6 linked regions of the Oryctolagus cuniculus genome follow. The protein of the gene in region 2 binds, or shares a complex with, the protein of the main gene of each other region. Links are inferred from orthologs where the notes say so. Each region holds a gene or a part of one and is shown on either strand. Other genes may lie near its edges.

Region 1 (4,260 bases), on a different chromosome or scaffold from region 2:
TGTCATCACTTGGACTTGCTGTGGACCTGCCAGCCTCCCCCTCCCCCCAGGCAGCCGTGGAATGCCCCACAGCTGGGTGGGGGCAACACAAACAGCAGCAGCAGGGCCATGGCAGGTAGAGTTTATTGGCCTGGGACACACAAGGGGGACCCTCACCCGTGGTGGGGTTGAAGAGACTCTCTGGTGGTCACTTGTGGTAGAAGCGTGGGTTCTGGCTGTGTTGGATGAAGGGGAGCCGAGGGCCGGGCTGGCTGGTAGCTGTAAAGCCTGACTGGTGGAGTGACAGGAGGGGTCTGTCAGTGGCCCCTTCTCCCTCCCACTCAGACCCTGACAAGCATCCCAGGGCAGAGCAGGGCGGGGGTCGTGGCCACTTGTCCTGACCTTTCCCTGCTGATCACCACCCTTACCTTTCCTGCTGGCTGCATCTGGACTGGGAGCTGGGGGGAGGCAAGGAGTCCAGGAGCTGGATGCAGAGCCTGGGGGTGCATGGGGCGCAGGGAAGACTGCAGAGAACAGAGTCAGGACCTGAGGTGTGCAGGGCTAACCTTGCACAGTCCTAACGCCACACCCCCTGCCCCAAGGGCTCCTCACAGTCCTGACCCACACCCCAGGACCCAGTACTCACAGAGTCTGAGAAGCCAGTCTGCTGGTTAGCATGTTCCATCTGCTTTTGCAAGGACAGGGCACCAGCAGGCTGTAGAAACCCTAAGTGGGGGACAGGGGCGTGTGAAATGACGTGAGAGTGAGGACGGGAGGGGCTGGAGCTAGGGCTCCCAGTGGGTGTCCTGGTCACCTGACTGGGTGGGCTGGAAGTGGCCATGCACGGCATAGGGCTGTGGCTGAGGCTGAGAGAGGTACTGCACTGCAGGAAACGCTGACGGTGCTGAGAAAGGCAAGAGGCACCGGCATCAGAACTCCAGCATTCCTTCCCGGTTCCCAGGAGGGGCCCCCTAGCACTCACCTCGGAGCTGCTGGCTGGGACTATAGGCTGGCTGGGTGGGCCCGTAGTGAGGCGGGGGCTGGGCAGTCCCGTAGGCACCGCCAGGACTGCCTTGGAATTGCCCGTGCTCTGGTGTCCCTGCAAAAGCTGCTGCGGAGCCCACGTAGTGCCGGGTCTAGGGAGGGGGGACGAGAGCTCCATGGAAACTGGAACACAAACTCCGGACTCGCGAGCTCTGCAGACGCGAGGTGTGCTTGGGATGCTTCTCACATCAAGTACGCCAGGGTGGGTGTAGCAGGGCAATGGGCCTGGGCCCACTCGCCCTGCTTTTCTCACCGTAAGCACTTGGGGTCCAAACATCTGTTTGGCTCTGTCAGCTGCCATGAGGGTGCCTGGGCGGCTGTGTCCTCCGGGGCTCCCTAGGAAGGAAGAGCAGCTTTGTGACGCTGGAGTGGGGGGCTGCCCTGCCCGGCAGGTGGGCCCCTCAGCCCTCACCCTGCATGCTGAGCAGGTGAGTTCCCGTGTGCACCGTCAGGCTCTGCTGGTAGGCAGCCGAGGTCAGCGTGGTCAGGTCGCTGGAGGGAAAGGAAAGCAGGTCAGAGCCAAGCACAGGAGCCCCTCGCCATCGAGCACCAGTGCCCTGTCCCCGCCCCGGTGCAGCCGGCCCCGTTCCCACTCTCGGCTCCCCGATCCCACCTCTGCTCCTTTCGCCTCCGTTTTTCTTCCTCGTGCAAAACCTTCTTGAGCTGCAGGAAGAGCTGGTGCTTCTCCTCCTGCAAGGCCAGAAGCTTCTCCTGCAGCTTCAGGATCTGGGGGGGAAGGAGAGGATGGAGGCGCGGCTGCCGCGGGAGGAGCCGGGCAGGGAGGTGGCGGTGCGTACTTGCTCCTTGGTCTCCTCCAGGGACATCCTCTCTTCCATTTCCTTCTTCTTCCTCCTCTCCTGCTCCTCCCTCATCTTCTGTTCCATCATCTTGTCCACCTCCTCTTCCTCTGCAGAAGGGGGGGGGGGGAGCCCAACGTTAGCCACGCCAGTTACCCCGAGGCTCCTGCACGCTCCCTCCACCGCCACGGGACAGCCAGAGGGCGGCTTGATCAGGTGCTCTCCAAGGTCCTTCCCTGGAGCTTGGGAGCAGGTCTCTAACTCCCCGCACGACGTGGGGGTGTTCCTTCCCTCCTCTAACTCGGCCTCGCGCGCAGGGGTCGGCCCGTGGGCGGGGGCCGACCCTGGGCCAGCGCAGACACCCCGGGCGTGCGTCCTCCCACTGCGGCCCGGCTCACCCTGGCGCTTGCGCTCCCGCTCCATCATGATGTGCCGGTGGAGCGCCCTGGCCATGGCGTTGGAAAGCTTGGGGCGCTCCAGGAGCGCGGGCATGGTGCCGGTGGGGACGCTCGGGCCGTGGGCGCCCGGCTATGTCAGTGACTGCCAGACTTCGGGATGAGGCCTGCGGGGAGGCGGGAGCTCAGTGGGGGCCGTGGCCAGCCGCGGCGGAAGCCCGTCCGCCCGGCCCGCTCGCCGTCCGGGTCACGTGCGGCGGGAGCCCCTCGCTCGGTCTGGCCACAGACCCCGCTCCGCGGCGCGCCCCGGCGGCACCAAGGTCCCGGCTGGACGCTCCGGCCGCTCTCCTCCGCGGCCCGGGCCGCCCGCCCCTCCCTACCCGCCTTCTCGGCGCTCTCTCCGCGGCCCCGGCGCACCTCGGCCCCCGCTACGTCACATCCGGCGGCCGGGCCGAGTGCTTCCGGAGTCACGGCGGAGGCCGGCCTCGCGGGTTGGCCGAGGGAGAGGCGGAAGTGCACTGGGACGGGTGCCCGCGACGCCCAAACCTCGGCGCGGGGCGGCGGGGACAGAGAGGCTGAAGCGGATGCTAGGAGAGGGCGTTTATTGGCTCTTTAGAAATCAGTCAGTAACAACTGTACAGAGGGCCCCGTCGTCCTCGTGCCCGCCCGGCCCACGCCCGCCCGCCGGCCCCCGGAAAAGCAGCTTCATGTGGACACAGGGGGACTCCTGGGATTCACAGTAACCAGAAACAAAAACGGAAATAAATTAAGTGATATGGGGGAGGGGAGTAGTAGGGAGTCGTGTTCCCCAAATCAGTGCATGAAGAGGGGTCCCCTGGGCCCGGAGCTGGGCTCCCCGCAAGCTCCCCGCCATCAGAGGGAGTGTTCTGGGCCCCTGGACACGGAGGTGTGCTCCACTTCCCATCTGAATCTGAGAGCCTGTCTACACTGCAGTTCCTGCGCATCTGCCAACACTGAGCACCTGTGCATGCCATGAGTCACTGGAATGAGGTGGAGGCAGGCGTCACTCGGAGTCCGCGGGCCGAGACCCAGCTGTGCTTGTAGTAGTGGGGTCTCGCCCCTCATTCCACCCGTACCAGCAGGGCATAGAGGAGTATGGCCCCCTTCTCCTTAGTGACCCACTCAAGTTCGGCCGCGCCGAAGTGGGGGTCCGGAGGTTCTCTGTGTGCAGCGGAAGGGGGGCCCGGGGTGTAGGAGCCAGGGCGCACACACACCTGGAACGCCACCTGAGCCCGGTGTGTCCGCTGAGACTTGGGGTCCCGGAATCTGTCGGGCAAGAAGCAGAAACGGGAGTGAGGCCTCCGCCCCAGCCACACTTAGGGTTTGCTCCAAGGAAAAGGCCTTAGCTCCAGCTGTTCTGTCTACCCCAAAGGCTCTGCCTCCCACAGCCTGTCCGGCCACAACCCTCACTTCCCCTTCCTGTGACGCCTACCCTGCCCGCCCGATTTGAGAGGCAGAGACAGCGAGACAGACAGACAGAGCTCCCATGTGCTGGTCAGTCCTCAAATGCCCACAACAGCCAGGGCTGGGCCAGGACTGAAGCCAGGAGCTTAGGTCAATCCAGGTCTGCCCCAGGGGTGGCAGGAGCCCAGTCACTGGAGCCATCACTGCTGCCTCCCACGGTCTGCATCGGCAGGAGGCTGGGGCCAGGAGCGAGCCTGGAACTGACCCCAGGCACCGTGAGCCCCGAGATGACCCCTTGTAATGTGGCTGCTGCATCAGCATTTCCCATCCGCCTCACCCCACTCTCCTTCCTCTGTTTCCACAGTATTGACTCAGCACCTTTAAAAATACCAAAGGCTGGCCAGTGCCGCAGCTCACTAGGCTAATCCTCCGCCTGTGGCACTGGCACCCCAGGTTCTAGTCCCGGCCAGGGCGCCGGATTCTATCCCGGTTGCCCCTTTTCCAGGCCAGCTCTCTGCTGTGGCCCGGGAGTGCAGTGGAGGATGGCCCAGGTGCTTGGGCCCTGCACCCCATGGGAGACCAGGAGAAGCACCTGGCTCCTGGCTTCGGATCGGCATAGC
Region 2 (4,096 bases):
TCAGGATCCGAAACAGGCATGCCCCAGTGGACCCTCCGGTCCCACCACCCGGCTACCCAACCAGGGAGCTGTCCCGGCCAGCGGTGCTGGTCTGCCAAGACCGCCCGTGGCAGGAGGCCCGACGGCGGCTGGGCAAGCCCTCTTCCACGACCCTGGTCCCAGACCGTTCCCCTTCCCAGCTCGTCCCGCGCTCCCGTCCCTGCCAAGGACACTGCAGCGCCAGACGGGACAGCATTCTCCAGGCGGCGGGCGCTCTGATCGCGCCTGAGTCAGCGTCCGCACCTCCCTCCGCGCCGGCCTGAGCCAGGCCTCTGCAGCCCCCTCCCCTCCCTGTACTCCCGGACCCCTCCCTTCCCTTCTCGGTTCCTCCCACCCTGGCCACCTGGCCCACCCGGTACCGGTGGTTTGGTTCTGGTTCCGACTCCGGCTCGGGTTCCGGCTCCAGGGGCGTTCTAGTCCGGCTCAAGGCCCCCGACGCCCTCCCGGCGCTCATCCCTTGGTTCCTCCCCCTCCCCCCTTCGCCGCCTCACCGGCTCCCGGCTGTGGCTGCGGATACCGGGGCCGCGGCAGGCGGGGGGAGGGAAGGATGGCGCGGGCTGCGGGCTGCTTGGCCGCGGCGGCAGGCTCTGGACAACTCCGGCCCTGGGGAAGCGAGGCGATGGGGGAGCCCCCCGCAGCCGCCCTGGGTTCCCAAATGCCGTCGCCCGTTGCCGGCCCGGGATCAAGGGGCGGAGCGCAGGTGTGCGGGGCTCAGAGCGTGAGCTCGGCGCGCGTGTGAGCGCAAGTGGGATGCGCGCGTGACTGCGCTGGGCCCCCCCCGGGGGGAATGTGCGGCGCCGAGTCTGGGTCCAGGTAGGGGACAGGAGGTTCGGCGGGGGTGCTCTTCTCTTGGTCTATCCCGCACGCCTGGCGCAGCTCCTGCCCTCAGATGCCCTGGCTGAGAGGATGGCCGGGATCTTCCCAGGGAGCTGGGGGAAGCTGGCTTTCTGCCCCTGAGAGGGGCGGCGTGCCCGGATCTTCAGCGCTTCCTAGAGCGGTGACTACTGCCTGCCCTGGGTTTGGGACAAGTGGCGGGACGGAATGGCCTGGCTTCCCGAGGATCTGGCCTCCGCCCGCAAGGCAATGTTCCTGGCATCCTAGGACGGATGCTACCCGTCCCCCGCCCAAGCCAGGATGCTAAAGCCCCAGAACCTAATAGGACACAGCCAGGCGAGTGGCCCAACTCCCGCAAGGGGCGTGGCCTGGGCGGGCGGGGCGGGGCGGGGCGGAGCGGGCCCGCCCCCGTTCCGCAGGGGCAGGCTGCGTGCTTGCGCAGCACGCACGGCGGGGGTGGGGCTGGCGGCGGAGGCGCGGGGCCTGCTCCGGCCGGCACCATGGCCAAGACCGTGGCCTATTTCTACGACCCCGACGTGGGCAACTTCCACTACGGTGAGGAAAAAGGGTTATGAGCGAGGGGTGGGGACGCAGAGGTTTCGAGTTGGGGGCTGCATCTCCAGGGGTGGGAACTGACAGACTCCGTTCTCCCGCACCCCCAGGGGCTGGGCACCCTATGAAGCCTCATCGCCTGGCATTGACCCATAGCTTGGTCCTGCACTACGGCCTCTATAAGAAGATGATCGTGAGTCTCGCAGCCTCCGGGGATTGGGGGCGAGGGCCAGCTGCGGCTTTAGGGCTAGGTGGGCTGGGCTGACTGCACCAGGGGCAAGCCGCTCCTAGAGTAGTGGGTGGCCGAATGGAAGACCCCAGAGGCACCCCTTTACATGCAGGGTGTCGAGGAGGCTTCCCCTGATTTAATGGGAGTAACTTTTCCACCTCAGGTCTGCCGCCCTTTGCCCTGCAGCAGACCAACCCTTGTCCTAGGATTAGGGTGGTGCGGGCCTGGCTTAAAGGCAGGCTTTTTCCTCCCCCTGCATTATAGGCTGTGGACAGAGCTGTGGCATTGGGTATGGGGGGGCGCTGGATCACTGTTTCTGAGTGTGAGGTTTACCCCACAGTGCCTATCGCTGCTCTTCCATGTCTCTGCCTCCGAGGAGCTAGAGCTCCAGAGAGAACTCTGCACCACGCTGAGTATGAATGTGTGGGTGTGGAAGAGAGCAGATGTCCTGGGAGTTCCCTTTACAACCCAGAATACCTCTACATGCTTCTGCTCAATAACTGCCCAATCTTCTGTCTCCCAGGCTGTGGGTCCCCAGCATGGAATTGATCGCTGTGAATAATATGGGATAGTAAACACTTAAGCCCAACCCTTGCTTGTGAGGGGACTTCGTCAGCAGCATGGATGAATGTCCATTGCTAGTGCTGAGGCACAGACAAGTGGATGGGTCATAGACAAGACGGGGGCGATGTTAGTGCAGGAGCCTGGGGGTCCCTGGAGATTGTGTGCTTGGATGCACCTGTGCATATCTTTTTCCTTGCCCAGTTTTCAAAGAGGTGTGTGAACTCCAACCCCTAAGATGATAGGTACATGTTTGATTTAGCACCTTCCATTTTAGTTAGCAGGTTGTCATACAGACTGTATATTTGACTCCAGAAACCAGATGAGAGAGACTAGAATCAGGCAGGGGAGGGAGATGAGTATGGAGGGAACCAGGAATAGGAGATCTAGGGAACAGGGCAGGGAGATCAGCGCTCGAGATTAAGAAGGAAGGAGCCGTTGGACTGGAAGTGGGAGGGAGAGGGAGAGGAAGCAACCTTTGGGATCTTGATCAGCATAACCCACCTGGCTAGTTGGAGCTTTTTTCTTCACTGACCTTTTCTCATAGAATAACAAGGATGGCGGAGTGGGGGCATTGCTGTGTGGGTTGGGACAGTCTCCAGGACTGGGTTCGGTGAGGGCTGGTCTCAGCTCCGTGAGTGAGCCTGGCCCTGCCTGAATTTGTCTTGTGTCTCCATCCCGAGGTCTTCAAGCCGTACCAGGCCTCCCAGCATGACATGTGCCGCTTCCACTCTGAGGACTACATCGACTTCCTTCAGAGAGTCAGCCCCACCAATATGCAAGGCTTCACCAAGAGCCTTAATGCCTTCAACGTGGGCGATGACTGGTGAGTGAAGGCTGGACTTTGGATGTCATCAGGTTCGTTGGTACCAGGCCCTTCGGTGAGGTCTTGGCAGCAGTGGGAAGATAGGAGGGGGGGCTACTTGTCATTGAGTCACTGTTCACTTGTTTATTCAGTAAATATTTAGTGATCATTTGCTCTAGGCCAGGGCGTGTGCTGTGAACACCAACAATATTGTAATATTAATATTAATAATTCCTAAATATCAGTTATGCAAACAGTATTCAGATTTCCTCATTCATCTCATTTTTTTTTTTTAAGATTTATTTTATTTATTTGAAAGGCAGAGAGAGAGCGAGCGAGTGTGGGAGAGTATGAGAGATCTGCGGGTTCATTCTCTAAATGACTGCAACAGCTGGAGCTGGGGCAGGCTAAAGCCAGGAGTCTAGAACTACATTTGGGTCTCTCATGTCGATGCCCAGTATGTGGGCCATCTACCACTGCCTTCCGAGGTGCATCAGCAGGGAGCTGGATTGGAAGTAGAGCAGCCGGGACTTGAACTGGTGCTCCTATGAGATGCCGTGCATCATAGATAGGTGATGGGGTAACCTGCTGCACCACAATGCCAGTCCCTCTTTTTTTTTTTTTTTTTGCAGTAAATTTTTTTTTAAATCACGATCTAAATCAAGTCAGCATTATATTTGGTTGACGTGTCTCTTAAGACTTTCAATCTATGGCTTCCCCCTCTTCTCCGTGAATTTATTTTGATGGAAGACCTCTCTCTCTCTCTCTGCCTTTCCTCTCTCTGTGTAACTCTGACTTTCAAATAAATAAATAAATCTTAAAAAAAAAAAAGATTTTCAACCTATGGCTTGCCTTCTCCTTGAATTTATTTCTTGCCCGATGTTTCTTATGATAGCTAGCATTTGTTGAGTGCTTATTCTGCTAAGTATTAACCTGAGGGTTGCTGTGCAGTCTCCTAATTCTTACGTCAACGCTGAGATGTCTTTTCTCTGCTTTGTACATAAGTAAATGGAAATTTGAGAAGATTCGGAAGCTTAACCTGAGTCACACGGCTGGTCAGTGGAGGTGACAGGATT
Region 3 (4,023 bases), on a different chromosome or scaffold from region 2:
TCAAAAAGAGCCCGCCGCACTCCCTGCCTCCATCCTATTATCGCGGTATCAGCCACCTCAGTTCCAGTTCGATCGCCGCCTCTGATGCGCCACAGCACACACGCACCGAGTGCGCGCAGGGCCTGAACTTCCACCGTGCAGGCTGCGGTAGAGGCACGTATTTAGTCCACACCGGGCAGCGTGATTTTATTCTCGTGAGATGCGAACTGATGGACCCAACCTCTGCCACAGGCCCACCAGACGATAAATACCACCATATGCTTGACGCACAGTCCATTTGGGCACAAACACTGCAATCACAGCCCTGTGTTTAGTATCAGAAACCCCTCCCGGTGTGCGACTGTTCGCTCTGCAGAGCCCGTGCTCCGGATTCCACTCGGAAAACCGCTTCTTACAGCTTAGAGCCCCTGTGCAGGTACGCTTCCCAGTAACATATGCACTGACGCACACAAAGGTGTGCACTAGCGCTAGCCCTTCCTCAGCAAATGTCCACACGAGGCCTGCGCCGCGCTCCCGCACATGCCCGCAGCGTGTGCGCCGCGCCGGCCGCCCAGGAAACTCGGCCGGCCCGGGCCCGGGTCCCGGCCCCGGCCCCGGCCCGGCCGCGCGGCCTACACCCAGCGGCCCTCAGCCGAGCGCGGCGGTGGGGGCGGGGCGGGGCCGCCCGCGCCCGGAGGCGCCTCGGAGCGCCCGCGGGGCCGGCTTTCTTTTTTAAAAGAATGCGCCGCACTCGCCCAGCCCCCAGCGCCGCCGCCGCCGAGAGCCGGGAGGGAGAGGAGCGCGGCCCGCGGACGCCCCCCCCCCCGCCGCTTCCCCGCGCCCCTCCCCCCGGCCCCTCCCCCGCGCGCCCGCCCGGCGCAGGCCGCTCGGGTTTGTTTTGCTGCGCGGCCGCCGCCGCCGCCGCCGCCGCCGCGGGCCTCGCGAGCTCATTTGTGCCTGGCTGGTCCCCATTCCTCTCTCCCCAGTGTTGAGTGTCTGAGCCGTTGGCTGCTCCGAACCGTTTGGCTCTTTCCCTTAGTAACAGCTTTTACCTTCTGCCTCAATTCCTCTCCCCGCTCGCGCCCTTCCCCCGCGCGCCGCCTCCCCCCGCCGCCGGCCGCGTGCGCCCCCGCCCCTCCCCCCGCGGCGGGAGCACCTCCGCTCGCCACCTGGGGACCCGCGCCGCGCTCCCCGCCCCCGCCCGCCGGCGCCCATCCCCCGCGCCCCGCGCTCGCCGGGGTTATAATTGCCTCTCACCCCCCGGAGGGGTTATTTTGGGGGTGGTTGGAGGCGGTGGCGGCGGCGGCGGCGGCGACGAGGGGAGTTTCCTTGTGCCTCCATTCCCGGGAGGGGGGGAGCGGCGTTGGAGGCCACCGTTTCCAGGTAAGCGCCGGGGGCCGGACCCCTGAGTGGGGGCGGCCGCGGGCCGGGCGGGGGGCCGCGGGCCGGAGGCGGCCGGGGGGCGCCGGGCCGCGGGGGGATGGGCGCTAGGGGGAACATGCGTTTTTCCACTGGGCCCTTGGGGGAGCTGGGGCTCGGGTGGGGGAGGGGAGGGAGGGCATTTAGGGTGCCCCATCCCCCCGCCTTGGCTCTCCCTGGCGCCTTTGAAATGCTCACGTGCCTGCCCACCCCCCCCACCCTCCCTGGGTCTCGGGGGGGATCCTCACCCTAATTATGTTGTCGTTGGCCCCGAAAATGGGCACCCGGGCCTGCTGGCCCCTTCCCCCTCCGTGCACCGACACCCCCTTTTTGTGTGTATGTGTATATGTGTATGTGTGTGTATATGTGTGTGTGTGTGCGCGCGCCGGGTGGGGGGAGGCTTTGAGGAAAGAATTTGCAGCAAATTGAATCAAGGAGCCATCATGAGGCCGACTCCTTTATAGCCTATTTTTAGCCGAGGAGACGGCTCCTCTCGATGCACGCGATTTTTGTGTGGAAGCCCAGGCAGCCATGGGAAGCGGCTCCCCCGGGCGGGCGCGGCCCGAGCCCCCGGCCGGCGTGCGGGGGGCTGCGGACGGTCGTTGGGGCCGCGCGTCCGGGGCGGGGGCGCCGGCGGCTGGGGGAGGGGCGGGCGGCCGCAGGGCCTCGCTCCGGGACGCGGTGGTTGGTCACTTGGTGCTTCCCACCGGCGGCGGGAGCTGTTTGGTGGAGCCCCTTTGAAGTTGGGTTCAGAAGTGTAGAATTGGCAAAGTTGTTGCCAGCTTCCTGGTAAGTTTCGGGTGGCACCGAGTGCCAGTGTTTTCTGACAGTGGAGAGGCCACGTTGTGAGAGGGTGGTTTCTCGGGAACTTCCTCTTTGCAGGCGAGGTCGTTTTTTTTTTTTTTTTTTTTTGAACAGAAAACAAGACTTTTTCTTGAAGTGAAATATTAATCTTCACGGTGGCAGCCCGAGGGAAGCCATGCGTGTGTTAACGTGTTCGGCGTTTTTTTGGAAGTTCCTAATTTGCTGAAGCGGGCATCGCCTTGCAGTGGCGACCGGGATTCAGTTCAGCCTGTGAAAATGGTGTGTTTCATGGAAAACTTGGGTCGTCGTGGCTTTTAAAAAAAATGCTCTTTGTTAGGTTATCCGACAATTTGTAAAAATAATGGGTGAATCTGAGAGAGAAGTGTTGCAGCCTAGTTAAAAATCGGATTTTCTCGGCGGCTGGAGTTTGCTTGAGATCTTGCTTGGACTGTGCAGGACCCAGAGGTTAAGAGTTTTAGTACCTATGCGATTTGCAGTCGAGTTAGGGAAGTTTACTACTGTTGGCTTTCTTGTTTTCCAAACAAGAACCTTATGCTCATCTAAACATCTTGTTAATAAAATATGGTGGGTTATTTTTAGTTCTAGGTTTTTAGACTGGAGGCTCCTTCCCCTCCCCCTCCATCATTAAGTAATCATCTTCCTCCTTTTTTTTTTTTTTTTTTCCTGAAGAGCCCTCCTCCAGTTTGGAGACCATAAGGGCCTCGTGGTGTTTTTAGCCTCTTAGCCTAAAACAACTTGAAGTAAATATCCTGGTTACACGGTGAAGACAGTGAGTGACTTTTTGGGGGGGGGGGTTTCGCAATGTGATTCATTTTTCATTTTTTGTTAAATGAGACCCATGTTACATTGGTGTATTTTAGTAATCTTGGCTTTCTGGGACTGCGTGTTCTCTCACCGTTTTAATAAGTTTATAGTCTGGAGAAGTAGGGCAGCTTTGTCTCCATGAAAACATCGTGAATGTTGGATTGTATCATGGGAGTTGATGGCAAGCTTCCCAAATTGTCATTGAGAGTTCTAGAAATAGTTAGCACTTACCTATGGGGGAGGGGCAGCAGAAAGAAAATAGGCTTGAGAGCCATTAGGCATGTGATGTGTGTTTATACTTTTTGCTCATAAATGGAGTTTTTCCTGCTTGTTTGGAGTCTCAATTTTTTGTTTTGAGTTTTGCTGTCCTGTACTGTGATGTATGTAATTGCAATCATTAGAGTTACAAGTAAGTGCCAATCCCCCCCCCCCCCCCCCCCGTTTGAAGTAGTTAGAATCAGTCCTGTGTAGGAGAAAGTAGTACACTCTATGGGGGATGAAAACAATGTGTGCATGGAAAAAGTTTTTCTTCTTGTGAGAATGGACTCAAGTGGCGTGTTAGTGTCTTAAAAATTGTTGCCAAGCTCACCGGCAGTTTGTAAGACATTTTCTTTTAACAGATGTCAGCTTTGGTTATTAACATGGGAGACGCTGATGGTAAATGGAGTGGCCCCTTGTGGAGATGGTATTTTTGCATCGGTTGCATCATGGAAGTGTTAAAAACATGTTAATAATTTTTTACATAGGTCCAGGAATCTCTTTGATACTTGTGTTCTCAACACCTAATTAAGCTTTTTGGGTGATTACCATGCTATCCGTCCAGCAACAGTAAGAAGTAACTGCTTCCTGTGCACTGCGAGCTTTTCAAGCTTTGCACAAAGGCAGATGCCGAACGTAAACATAGGGGTTCCTGATAAAAGGAGATGTAATTAACGGCTCTTCTGAATGTCAACCTGTTGAATAAATACATCAGTTCGTATATAGCAATGCAGCATA
Region 4 (3,500 bases), on a different chromosome or scaffold from region 2:
GACAGGTGCGGTCAGCGTCGGGGAGATGCTGGGAGGGGACCCCCATGGCAGCAGGTGGTTCTGGCCTCCCTGCTTTGCTGATGTTGTTGTCCCACCTGGACAAGGCCTTCCTCCTTCCTCACCCCAACTCTGCTGGGGAATCTTCCCAGGGCCACCACCTCTAGGAAGTCTTCCCGGATCCCTTCTTGCTATCGGTGCAATTCTTTTTCTGAGCAAAGTCACAGACAAACCCCTGCCCAGCTCCGCACTCCCAGTGACAGCAGGGTGGCCACTGCCACATGGGTTGGTGCAGTTAGTCACCTAAGAGGCAGGATGTCAGCCCATGGCTGCAGACAAGGAGGAAGGGGCTCAGAGAGCAGCAGCTGCCTGCCCGAGGTTACACGGCTGACAACCAGTGCGCCCTCAGGTCTCCTGACGCCGGCCAGGGACAGCGCTGAGGCACACTGACCAGCTCTGGAGTCAGATCCGATTCAAATGCCAGCTCTCAGTGTGGTCCCTTCATCTCTCTTTGGCCTCAGTTTTGTCATCTGAAAAATGGAGCCGGCAAACCCTATCTCCCAGTGGTGCTAATGGGACAGGCTTGGGTGGGGGTTGGGGGTGCAGCCTACGCCCCTAAAGCCTGGGCGCGGCTGCTGGCGGCTTCACTGCCCTGCTCTCGGGAGCCCCGTGGCCCCCTGGGGCCCAGCACTCGCCTGGAGGACGGTCCCCACTCGGGGGTCGAGCACCCGAATCTTTCGGTCTTTGCAGGCGGTGGCCAGCAGGCTGCCGTTGGTGTTGAAGGACATGGAGAGGATGACGTCCTGGTGGCAAGTGATCGTCTGCACGGGGTTCCTGAGTACTGCCTCCTTCGTGTCCAGGTTCCAGACCATCACCTGCGCGGCACAGCGCGGGCCCCTGAGCACAGGGCCACCCCCGCCCCAGCACCCTGCCGTGAGACACAGTATTCCTGGGAGGGGAGCTGCAGCTGGCAGCCTGGCTGGGAAGCCTCAGGTCAGAGGGCGGATCTTCAGGCTGAGGCCAAGCATGGCGGGAGGGGGAAGCCGGGAGCAGGGCCATTTAGCCTCGAAAGCAAAACACCATCTGCCTTCCTGCAACGGAACATCACGCTGGGAAGACCCCAAGGGATCAGCTAATGCCAGGATTTCAAACAGTCACAAGCAGCAGGTCCCACCTGGCATGGACAAACAGGACTGCCTGGGGTGGTGACACAGACTGTACACTCGCGGCCGTGTGAAGAGCGCCCCCTGGAGGCGGGTGTGGAATAATGCACACAGCTTTGCCGGGGAGCCCCACAGACCCACCCTGCAGAACCAGGAGAAAGAGCACTTCTGGCCCCGAGGTCCAGCAACCCTCTCCTCATCACGGCTGCTTCTGCAAACTGCTGCGGGGTCAGAAGGGCAGAGTCTGAAATCCTATTTGTCTTCAGGTTGGGAAACCGAGGCCTGGAGGAGGCAAGGGACTTTTCGGGTCATCCCGCAAACCGGAGGCGGAGTGGGAGGAATGCAGCTCTCCTGTGCCAGGACTTCCCCCAGCCGTGGGGCCCACAGTCCCCCCGGCAGCCAGCAGGGCAGAGGGCAGATGCCCTGGCAGGCCTGGTCCATTCCCTTCTGGCAGGATGTGACGGCTTCAACAGCGTCTCCCCAAACCCAACCCCCCACCCCCCAACTCAGAATGCGAGATGTGAGCCCGGGTGGAAAGAGGCTCTTGCAGATGGCGTTAGCTCAGGTGCAGTCACAACGGGTTAGGAGAGGACCTGCGGGCGCACGGGGAGAGGCTGTGGGAGCACAGAGCTTGGAGTGACACTGCTAAGTGACAGAGTGAAGCGCACCTGGAGCCACCAGACCCCGGACAGGGCAGGAAGGTCCGCCCAGGGCTGGCGTCGTGGTGCAGCAGGCTAAGCCACCGCCTGCACCCTGATCCCACACGAGCATGGGTTCGAGTCCCGGCTGCTTCGTTTCCGACCTGGCTCTCTGCTAATGCTCCTGGGAAGGCAGTGGGAGATGGCCCAAGGCCTTGGGTCCCTGCCACCCAAAACTTGGGAGACCTGGATGGAGCGCCTGGCTCCTGGCTTTGGCCTGGCCAAGCTCTGGCCGTTGCAACCATCTGGGAGTGAGCTAGCAGATGGAAGATTCTCTCTCTAAGTCTGCTTTCAAATAAATGAATAAATACTTAAAAAAAAAAAAAAGGAATATTCTCTCTGGAGCCTGTAGGGGGCGCCGATCTCCCCCAAGAGCTCAGCTCCAGGTAGGGTTTCTGTCTCTAGAATGGTGACAGCTGTAAAGGCAGCCCTGGAGAGGGCCACGCAGGCTGCTCACCTTGTAGTCGTAGCCGGAGCTGAAGAGGATGTTGGCGGCCGTGGGGTGCCACTCCACCAGGCCCACCCTGCGCGCGTGGCCCATCAGCTCCTTCCTGTAGGCCGTGAGGTTCTTGGACAGCAGCTGTTTGGGGATGGCCCAGATCTTGATCTGGCAGGGGAGACACGGCCCACGGGAGGGTCAGTCGGGGCCGCCTCCCTGCCTTCTCCACCCCAAGCCACGGACCCGGCAGTGCTCGGCAGAGGCAGTGGGCAAAGTCTCCAAATCCATCTCTCCACGGGTCAAGGACAGCTGGGCGCCCCGGAGGAACGGGCTTCGCCACAGTCCTCCAGCTGAGCAGAGACGAGCCCACACCCCCCAACCCGCCCCTGGGGATGCTTGGCCACCTGGACGGTTGGACATGTTGGGCAGGTGGATGGGCGCAGGAGTGTCCCCACGCTGGATGCCACAGCGAAGCTGCCTTCCAGCTCAGCCCAGCCCTCCGGGGCCAGGGCTCCGCCCCCACCTCGCACTCAAGGCCCAGGGCGGAAGCTCAGGGTCAGGACGAGCAAGGCAGCACCAGGCTGGCCCTCAGGGCACCTGGGAGCCAGCGCAGGCTCTGGAGCAGCACGGGACAGGGCCATCTTCCTGCTCCGCAGGGCGCCCTGGATGGCCCGGAAGAGGACAGGCTGGAAGCCAGGGGGCCGGGCCAGGGACGGACGGCAGGGGGCGCTAGCGGAGCGAGCGCCCTGCCACGGAGGCAGACATGGACGAGGCAGCGGGCGCTGGAGCCAGGGGCGGTGCCCGCGGGCCTTCCGGGCTGTCCTGCCGGGTCCTCCGGCCCGGCTCCGCTTCTCTGAGACACAGGCTTCTCGGCTGGACGGCTTTGTTCTCGGCTCAGCAAATATTGACTTCCTGGTCGTTTTGGGTTTCATACCAGGAAGGCAGGCCCCGAGCTGCAAACAGATGGGTCTGCCGAGGGCGGTTACTGGCCAGGCCTGTTTGGGGAGGTGCAGGTGCCTGCTCAACCCGAAAGCACCAGGAACCCCAGGGCTAGAAGCTCGTCCCTGCCCTCAGGCCCTGGGAGCAGGGGTGGGGGGACCTGAGCACTTTACAGGAAAGAACTGATACCCCACCCCCTCCCCCATAACCCTGCCCCTGAGGCTTCTGGGAAGGAACCGAGGTGATGGGGAGAAGGTGCCAGAA
Region 5 (4,247 bases), on a different chromosome or scaffold from region 2:
TACTCCACAAATGGCCACAACAGCTGGGGCAGGGCCAGGCCAAAGCCAAGATCGCAGACCTCAGTTAGGATCTCCCATGTGGGTGGCAGGGGCCCGTCTCTATCTGAGTGCTGGTTTGAGTCTTAGCTGCTCTGCTTCGGATCCAGGAAAGCAGTGGAAGATGGCTCAAGTACTTGGGCCCCTGCACCCTCCTGGGAGACCCAGATGAAGCTCTTGGCTCCTGGCTGTGGCTTGGCCCAGCCCAGCCCAGGCATGAGGCCATTTCCAGGGTGAACTAGCAGATGAAAGATGTCTCTTCTCTCTGTCACTCTACCTTTCAAATAAATAAAAAATAAATCTTTAAATAAATAATGACTCAAGAAACGACTTCAACTAAAACTCTCTTCTCAGTGATGGAAGTTCTCCTTTGTTTCTGTGCTTTTCTTTGTGTATTTCAACCTTTATGTCCTGCGTTTCCTTCTAATTGTGGTCCAAAGTTAGTCCCATCACTCTATGAGCTTAGTAGGTCCTTTAATCCCTCTCTCTATGCTTCCTCCCTCATTGGTAAAATAAGATACTCTCTTATGGGGCTGTTACGAGAATTTAGTAAGACAACATGAAAAGCGTTTTTGCACAGTCAAGGAACGTGGCGGACACTTAAAGCTGTCACAGTTATTACTTGGCAGAGGAGTAAATTTCTCACAAAAGCCTTATTCTTAAGTCCCTCCCACTAGAGGCCTTGGGTGGTGAGGCAGCTACAGCGGTGGCAGCCCAGTCCACACAAAGCCCTTTAGTCCCTGCGCTAACCGGGGTCGTCGGGGAAGCTAAGGAAACTTAGAATGGCACGGAACTCCGCGGAGAAGGCGAAGCCTTAACAACCTTTACTACCTTCTAACCGTATTCATCGTTCAACAAACGTCTATTGAACATTTTTCAGCACCAGGCGCCGCACAGTTGGGAACAACTGGGAACAAAAGCATCCCCCCACCCCCGCTTCTGGGGAGCTGACAGTCTTATTTTAGAGGTGTAATCCACCAAGCGCTTTCTGAAACGTGACAGGGTTAGAACCTCACAAACTCTCCACAGTTAGGGCGACAACTGCCGTCTGCACAACACAGGAGAAAACCGGCGCAGGAAAGTTTCCGCAACTCAAGTTCCCAGAAAGTAACGGGATCAAACTCCAAGCAGCGCTGGCAGAAGCAGTCACCCTGCACCTCGCGCCGGAACCGCAGCCGGCGGGATGCAATCCGCCCCTGGCGCAGCTGGGCTCGGAGCCTCGCCCGTGGGCCCCTCGCCCCGGCAGGTCGCGCCGCGGTTCGCCCTTCCTCGTTCCCACCTCAACTCTGCACGCCGCTCCCCCGTGCACGCCCCTCCCCCGGCCTCCGAGCTACCTGAAGTGACAGGGGAAAGTGGCGAGGGAAAGCGGCTCGCTGCCGGAAGCTGCCACCTTTGACCTCGGAAGTTGCTGCTGCGGCCGGGGTGCAGTTCCGGTTAGGCGGCTGAGTTTGTTTACGCTGCTCTCGGGTTTGGAGGCTGCCGCCTTCTGCTCCGACTGCAAGATGGGGAAATCCTTCGCCAACTTTATGTGCAAAAAGGACTTTCATCCTGCCTCCAAATCCAATATTAAAAAAGTGAGTAAAGCGACCCGCGGAGGGATCTGGCTCATCGCTTCTGGGTCCCCGGGGGTTGCTTGAGGTGCGGTTTAGTGACGGTGTCCGTGTGATCCCCGGGAAGATCGCCGTTCCTGGATCATCTCCAGGCCTGAACCCGTGTGCTGTCGTCCCTTCTCCGCGGAGTATCTCACTGACGAAGCGATCCTTAATATTTATTTCTCATCCGCGGAGAACCGGGGAACCTAGTGGGCTCTGTCGCCTCTGTCAGAAAGTAAAGTCATAAAATGTGGAGATCGATATTAGAATTTCTTAGTGTTTCCCTCAGCTTTTGTCTTTTCTGGTCCCAGAGTTCACGACTCCTCAACTCTGGTTTCCTCTAAAATTCCCTGTTTAAGAGAGATCTTAAGAGAAATTAACTTGTTTCCACTCTACATCTCATCCAATAATGTAGTGTCTTTTTGATGACCTCGATTGAATTTAGCGTTTTAAGTAATTAATTTCAAGTCTGCTGGATGCGGGGTCGGATACTATGGCAGTGCAAAAATAGTGGGGAAGTAGAGTCTGAGTTAGACTCAGATTCCAGTTACTCCAGCACAGCTCCTGTTAGCCCTGAGACTTTGCACCTTTCTCAAAATACTTAATATCTAATCCTCAGTTTCCTAATCTGTAAATTAAGGAAAACCAGTATCGATTTCCGTGACTTGTGAAATTGCTGTGAGAATTAGTGAGGTTGTGCAGGTAAAAGGATTTGAAACAAAGAGGGCACTTAACCCTGTGTCCAGCTCAACAAAATGTTGATTGCCTGTACATACAAACTTGTGAAATGAACTAGCTTTTCGTTGTTTTTGAAACCACGTTGGCCGGCGCCATGGCTCACTAGGCTAATCCTCCGCCTGCGGCGCTGGCACAACGGGTTCTAGTCCAGGTCGGGGCGCCAGATTCTGTCCCGGTTACTCTTCTTCCAGGCCAGTTCTCTGCTGTGGCCCTGGAGTACAGTGGAAGATGGCCCAGGTCCTTGGGCCCTACACCCGAATGGGAGACAAGGAGGAAGCACCTGGCTCCTGGCTTCTAGCACTGACGGCCACTTGGGGGGTGAACCAACAGAAAAAGGAAGACCTTTCTCTCTGTCTCTCTCTCACTGTCTAACTCTGCCTATCAAAAAAAAAAAAAAAAGTTAAAAAAAAAAAAAACCAAACACAACTCAAATATAGGGGCCCATGTTTTTGGCTTAGCCAGTAAAACTGCCGCCTGCAATGCCAGCATACTAGGTGAGCACAGGTTGCTCTACTTCAGATCCAGTTCCCTGCTAATGGTCTGCGGAAAACAGTGTCAAAATGGCCTGAATACTTGGGCCCCTCACCCACAGGGAAGAAACTCCTAGCTTCAGCCTTGCTGTTGTGGCCATCTGGGGAGTGAACCAGTGGATGGAAGATCTCTCTCTCTCTCTGTAACTTTGACTTTCAAATAAATTTAAAAAGAAAATAAACTCAACTATACTGAGTTATATTTAATTTTTATATGTAAAACAATCCCATTTATTTAAAAAAGAATGTTGTGTATATTCTCTTACTTATATATGCATTAGAACATACTTATTTATTTATTTGAAAGAGTTACAGAAAGAGAGATCTTCCATCCGCTGGTTCACTCCCCAAATGGCTGAAATGGCCAGAGCCAGGCTGAGCTGAAGCCAGGAGTCAAGAGCTTCTTCTGAGTCTCGCACGTGGGTGCAAGTAGTTGGGCCCTCTTCTGTTGCTTTCCCAGGCACATTAGCAGGGAGATGGATCAGAAGTGGAGTAGCTGGGACTTGAACCAGTGCCTGTATGTGATACTTTACTCACCACACCACAGCATGGGCCCCTAGAACTTCTTTGAAAAGATATATAACAAAGGGAGTGGCATTCAAGGCTCTTGTTTAACCCTACATGTGCCCTATGCTGAAGAGTTATCTAGATGAGACAAATTCTTTTAGAGAGATTCTTGTTCTGTTCTCTGAAATAACCTAGGGACTGAGTTCAGAGTGGATCTCAAGTTTGACATTTTTGCCTGACAGTTCAGCTATTTTTAATGCTATCAAGATACAAATCAGATTTTTCAAGTATTATCTTGTGATGATGTCATTATGACTAAATTGGATTATGTTGTAAACTATAAATGATAGCATTTTATACTTACTGTAATATAAAACTTCCTTAAGTACTTAGATTAAGTATTTAAATACAACTATTTATTTTTTTTACTTTACTAATTTAGGTATGGATGGCAGAACAGAAAATATCATATGACAAGAAGAAACAAGAAGAATTGATGCAACAGTATCTTAAAGAACAAGAATCGTATGATAATAGGTATGAAATTCCATTTTGCCAGTGTTTTTAAAATAATGAATTATGTGAGAAGAATCCCTTACTGAATCATGTATTAATTCAGTTTTTTGGAGTTGAATGCCCCAGTGATAGGAGTCTGTTCTTTTTTTGTGAACTGTCTTCTTTACTCTTATACCTGTAAATGGCCACTTCTTCCAACTTTACCTCCAATTCACATAAAATATAGATTTATGTAGCTCATTACAGTCTGTGAGCAACTCCTAACTTAAGCAAAATTTAGAGGAACAGTAAACATCTACACTTGAACTGCTGAGACCTGGTTTTTTCA
Region 6 (3,944 bases), on a different chromosome or scaffold from region 2:
CCCTGTGACCCACTTGGAAGACCCAGATGGAATTCTGGGCTCCTTCAGCCTGGACAGGCCTCAGCCACTGCAGTCATCTGGGAAGTGAACCAGCATATGGAAGATTCTTTCTTTCTTTCTTTCTTTCTTTCTTTCTTTCTTTCTTTCTTTCTTTCTCTCTCTCTCTCTCTCTCTCTCTCTTTCTCTCTTTCTCTCTTTCTCTCTTTCTCTCTTTCTCTCTTTCTCTCTTTTTCTTTCTTTCTTTCTTTCTCTCTCTCTCTCTTTCTCTCTCTCTTTCCCTTCCTTCCCTTCCCTTCCTTTCCTTTCCTTTTCCTGCCTTCTTTCCTTCCTTTCCTTACTTCCTCCCTCCCTTCCTTCTCTCTCTCTCTCTCTCTCTCTCTCTCTCTCTCTCTCTGTCACTCTGCCCTTGAAAAAAAAAATAAATCTTTAAAGCAGAAGAAGAAACAGGAAAAGAAATAAAGAGAGGAAGGGTGGGAGGAAGGAAGGAAGGAGCCCATACCCTGGGCTGCTGGTGTGGTACAGCAAATTATGCTGCCGGTTGCAACAGCAGCATCCCATATCGCAGTGCCTCTTTCAATCCAGCTCCCTGCAAATGTGCCTGGAAAAGCTGCCAAAGGACTGGCTGGGGCCATTTGAGAAGTGAACCAGCAGATAGAAGACCTCCATATCTCTCTCACATTCGCTCTCACTCTTGCTCTACCTTTCAAATAAGTAAATAAATATTTTAAAAGCAGCAGCAGCAGCCAGCATCCCATATCAGAATGCCAGAATTCCTGACTTCAGCTCCTAATTCCAGCTTCCAGCCAATGCAGACCCTTGAGGCAACAGGTGATGTCTCAAGTAATTGGGTCCCTGCCACCCACGTGTGACACCTGTATTGGTTCCTGGTTTCAGCTTGGCCCAATCCTGGCTGTTGCATGCATTTGAGGAGTGAATTGGTGGATAGGAACTCTGTCTCTCTTTCTGTCTCTACCTCCCAAATTTAAAAACAGTAGAAAATGAACAGAAATACTGATCATAAACCACATATTGCTAGGCTAGCAGATGACTAGTTTAAGGGGCTGGATAAAGAGAGGGTTACATATTCCTTTTGCTGAAGCACACGGGTGGAGATAGTTACTGTAAGAAAAGTATGCAATTTTTCTCTGGGCTGCAAACTTATTTGGAGTGTATCAGGCTCAAGACGTTAACACAGACTTTGTGCCTTCTATGCTACCTGGGCAATACGGAGCTTAGATATCATAGCTCACCCCAATCGCGATAAACTTTCCTAATTTTTCTTGGGATTAGGAAAAAAAACCAAATTATATGCAATATATATTCTCAATCATACATAAATGCATAATTATACACAGAAGGCACACGAAACACATACAGAATTGGATGTGTTGTTCATACGACCACTCTGTGAAATGTATCTTATATTCCGCCATCCTTCTCTTCAGGTACCACAAAGTTCGAAGCTGAGAAAGGACTTTATCTCCTCTCCCCGTTAGTTTAGCTTTGAGAAGCCACTCGGAACTAGAGGAGAGCGTAGACCCAGTTGCCCTACCGGCTTGTTTATACCGATACACACGTCCGTTCAAGTCTGCAGAACCGCCTACGTCCGGGGAAGGGGTTTACCGACGTACTCGAAACGATTCCCAAGGTTCCCCTCAGGTTTGGGTGGTTGTAAGGTGGCGGGATCTGAAAGCCAAGGCAACCGGGATCTTCCTAGACTGGTGAGAGCGCCCCCTTCTTCAGCGACTTCTGGGATCCTGCAGCAGCAATGGCTCGGGTATCCGGCTCACGGAGCCCGGAAACTTCGGGCTCCGGGGGAAAACGTCGCAGTTCGTCGAAGAGCCCCAAGCCCAGCAAATCTGCTCGGTCCCCGCGGGGCCGCCGCTCTCGCTCGCACTCTTGCTCTCGATCCGGGGAACGGAATGGCCTCAGTCACCATGTAGGTGGCCTCAGTCACAGCTCAAGAAACCAGTCCTACCGCTCCCGCTCGCGGTCACGTTCTCGAGAGCGGCCCTCTGCGCCTCGGAGCACACCTTTCGCTTCTGTCTCCTCGTCCACCTATTATGGCGGCTACTCGCGCCCCTATGGGAGCGACAAGCCGTGGCCTAGCCTCCTGGACAAGGAGAGGGAGGAAAGCCTGCGGCAGAAGTGAGTGACCCCCCTCCCCCACTTTTCCTTTTACGAACCCACCTCCCTTTGGAGTCCGATTTATCATTCATTCCTCTTGTGGCCGTTTGTGTTCGCTCATACTTGCCTTGTATCCGTTTTCACCCCGTTATCCAGTCCACCCATGGCGACCCTTTTATACGTCCTTTTATTCCCTTACATTTTCATTCATTATACATTGCCATGGTTTCGTGCTACCCTCTTCCCTCTTCGGGGTTGTTAGCAAACGCGGTCAAGAGCCTCACATCTACCAGATTTATAGCATTTACTTGGTTGTGCCATTATCATTTGAGAGCCCTTTTATTGATTATAGAATTCCCAGTGCCTAGCACTTTGCAAACATGCAACCATTGCTTATTGAAGAAATAGGCTTGATTTAACAGAACACGTAAGTGGTAATGTTTTGTGGGGAATTGGGAAGGTTGAAATCAAGGGTTTAAATTGGAGAGAAGGAAAATCTTCCCCTCAGACAAGGCGATGAATGTAGGAAAAGTGACCTGCTAGGCTGTAGATGAGGCTACCTTGAGAAAGGACTTGCAGAGTGGTCTCGATCTTGTTTGATCATGAAAAATGATATTGGGGTGAGATCAAATTTCTAGTAAGAGTGAGTATGGAGTGGAAAAATGCATGGTTTAAGGGGAAAGGAAAAGGTTTATAATTATTGCTGTGGAAGCCTTTGTCTCTAATGTTTATTAAAGGTTAGATTTATGTATCCAGTACTGTGCTGAGGACTAGACATGCTGTATGTGTCAGAAAATGAGAAATGTAAAAGTATTTCAGGCATTGAGGAGCAAGTTAAAGTTTCAGCAGTTGAGAGGTGTCTTTGTGATTCTTTTGCTAACTGCAGTTTCATCCAGGAATCAGACTGTCTGAAATTGATGTGCTTATTTGGTATTTAACAACAGTGTGAACTTGAGCGAGTTGCTTAACCTCTCTGAGTTTTACTTCTTCACTATTAAAAAAAAGATAAAATTAGTATGAAGGATTTTAGGGTTGTAATAATTTAGTGTTTGGAACATAATAAATACTCCACAAGTGTTAGATGTTAGTTCAGCATGCATGGAAGAAGAAACAGTGAAAACAGTCCTGAGTTAGGTTACTTCCAAGTTAAATTTTTCAGAAAAGTACCCAGAGGCTTTATCAATCAAAAAGCAAATGGTTTCTTAGTGGAAAATCTCCACCAAAATATGTCAGAACTACTTGAATGAAATTTGCATTTGTACATTTAAGGAGATAAGTAATTTATCTTAACAGTACAGATGAAGCCAGGTGACAGCAGGTATGAGAACAGGACTCCAAGCACTGTAGAATTTGGCTGATACTCTTCTCCCTATATGTAAATATTCCAAGTATGTCCCCTTTTAGATTGTATGTTTCTTAAAGTGGGAAATGCTGAGTCTGACTCTGCATAATGATGATATAATTTCCCCCTGAAGAAATAATATAATTTATTCAAACAAACCAGCTATATTTATTTTGTAAGGATGTTTAAAAAGAAATCAAATCACAAACAGCCAAACTTTTAGGAAGTGGGCCTTTTTTTTTTAACTTTAAGAGTAATAGCAAAAATTAAAACAAACCACATTATAAAACAAAAGAAGAAAATTTTAATGTCCTCCAAAGAATAGAGAATGTACTACTTTTCCAAAAAGAAACTAAAGGGAAAACAGAGAGAGAACAAACCCTGTGTCTCACTGAGTACAAGTTTTGTCAAATAAGACTTTTTTTCATTTTTAGAACTTTTGTTTTCTGCTTTTATCAATTCCTGGGCTTCTGAA

The links.
Region 1: HDAC3 (region 2) and GPS2 share a complex: the UniProt entries of both Homo sapiens proteins name them as parts of the N-Cor repressor complex. The link is inferred for Oryctolagus cuniculus from reciprocal best matches to the Homo sapiens genes HDAC3 and GPS2.
Region 3: HDAC3 (region 2) and TBL1XR1 share a complex: the UniProt entries of both Homo sapiens proteins name them as parts of the N-Cor repressor complex. The link is inferred for Oryctolagus cuniculus from reciprocal best matches to the Homo sapiens genes HDAC3 and TBL1XR1.
Region 4: HDAC3 (region 2) and CORO2A share a complex: the UniProt entries of both Homo sapiens proteins name them as parts of the N-Cor repressor complex. The link is inferred for Oryctolagus cuniculus from reciprocal best matches to the Homo sapiens genes HDAC3 and CORO2A.
Region 5: HDAC3 (region 2) and CIR1 share a complex: the UniProt entries of both Homo sapiens proteins name them as parts of the notch corepressor complex. The link is inferred for Oryctolagus cuniculus from reciprocal best matches to the Homo sapiens genes HDAC3 and CIRSR.
Region 6: HDAC3 (region 2) and NKAP share a complex: the UniProt entries of both Homo sapiens proteins name them as parts of the notch corepressor complex. The link is inferred for Oryctolagus cuniculus from reciprocal best matches to the Homo sapiens genes HDAC3 and NKAP.

Annotation. Positions count from the first base shown.
Region 1 is NC_091448.1:51,915,539-51,919,798, forward strand, and holds the start of GPS2 (G protein pathway suppressor 2), read right to left. Parts: upstream 2,801-4,260; intron 2,748-2,800; exon of another isoform or gene 2,504-2,747; intron 2,383-2,503; 5' UTR 2,313-2,382; coding exon 2,219-2,312; intron 1,931-2,218; coding exon 1,821-1,930; intron 1,750-1,820; coding exon 1,637-1,749; intron 1,516-1,636; coding exon 1,436-1,515; intron 1,360-1,435; coding exon 1,277-1,359; intron 1,116-1,276; coding exon 962-1,115; intron 884-961; coding exon 794-883; intron 706-793; coding exon 626-705; intron 526-625; coding exon of another isoform or gene 504-525; coding exon 408-503; intron 272-407; coding exon of another isoform or gene 268-271; coding exon 1-267. Other genes in the region: NEURL4 (neuralized-like protein 4), read right to left, coding at 3,298-3,502. UniProt on the Homo sapiens protein: Key regulator of inflammation, lipid metabolism and mitochondrion homeostasis that acts by inhibiting the activity of the ubiquitin-conjugating enzyme UBE2N/Ubc13, thereby inhibiting 'Lys-63'-linked ubiquitination.
Region 2 is NC_091437.1:29,206,481-29,210,576, reverse strand, and holds the start of HDAC3 (histone deacetylase 3), read left to right. Parts: upstream 1-1,296; 5' UTR 1,297-1,373; coding exon 1,374-1,428; intron 1,429-1,535; coding exon 1,536-1,618; intron 1,619-2,898; coding exon 2,899-3,041; intron 3,042-4,096. UniProt on the Homo sapiens protein: Histone deacetylase that catalyzes the deacetylation of lysine residues on the N-terminal part of the core histones (H2A, H2B, H3 and H4), and some other non-histone substrates.
Region 3 is NC_091435.1:102,718,003-102,722,025, forward strand, and holds the start of TBL1XR1 (F-box-like/WD repeat-containing protein TBL1XR1), read left to right. Parts: upstream 1-1,223; 5' UTR 1,224-1,362; intron 1,363-1,657; exon of another isoform or gene 1,658-2,187; intron 2,188-2,326; exon of another isoform or gene 2,327-2,481; intron 2,482-4,023. UniProt on the Homo sapiens protein: F-box-like protein involved in the recruitment of the ubiquitin/19S proteasome complex to nuclear receptor-regulated transcription units. Plays an essential role in transcription activation mediated by nuclear receptors.
Region 4 is NC_091432.1:201,885,333-201,888,832, forward strand, and holds part of CORO2A (coronin-2A), read right to left. Parts: intron 2,466-3,500; coding exon 2,316-2,465; intron 873-2,315; coding exon 693-872; intron 1-692.
Region 5 is NC_091434.1:66,779,331-66,783,577, forward strand, and holds the start of CIR1 (corepressor interacting with RBPJ 1), read left to right. Parts: upstream 1-1,447; 5' UTR 1,448-1,538; coding exon 1,539-1,610; intron 1,611-3,845; coding exon 3,846-3,940; intron 3,941-4,247. UniProt on the Homo sapiens protein: May modulate splice site selection during alternative splicing of pre-mRNAs. Regulates transcription and acts as corepressor for RBPJ. Recruits RBPJ to the Sin3-histone deacetylase complex (HDAC). Required for RBPJ-mediated repression of transcription.
Region 6 is NC_091453.1:73,167,905-73,171,848, forward strand, and holds the start of NKAP (NF-kappa-B-activating protein), read left to right. Parts: upstream 1-1,144; 5' UTR 1,145-1,768; coding exon 1,769-2,148; intron 2,149-3,944. UniProt on the Homo sapiens protein: Acts as a transcriptional repressor. Plays a role as a transcriptional corepressor of the Notch-mediated signaling required for T-cell development. Also involved in the TNF and IL-1 induced NF-kappa-B activation.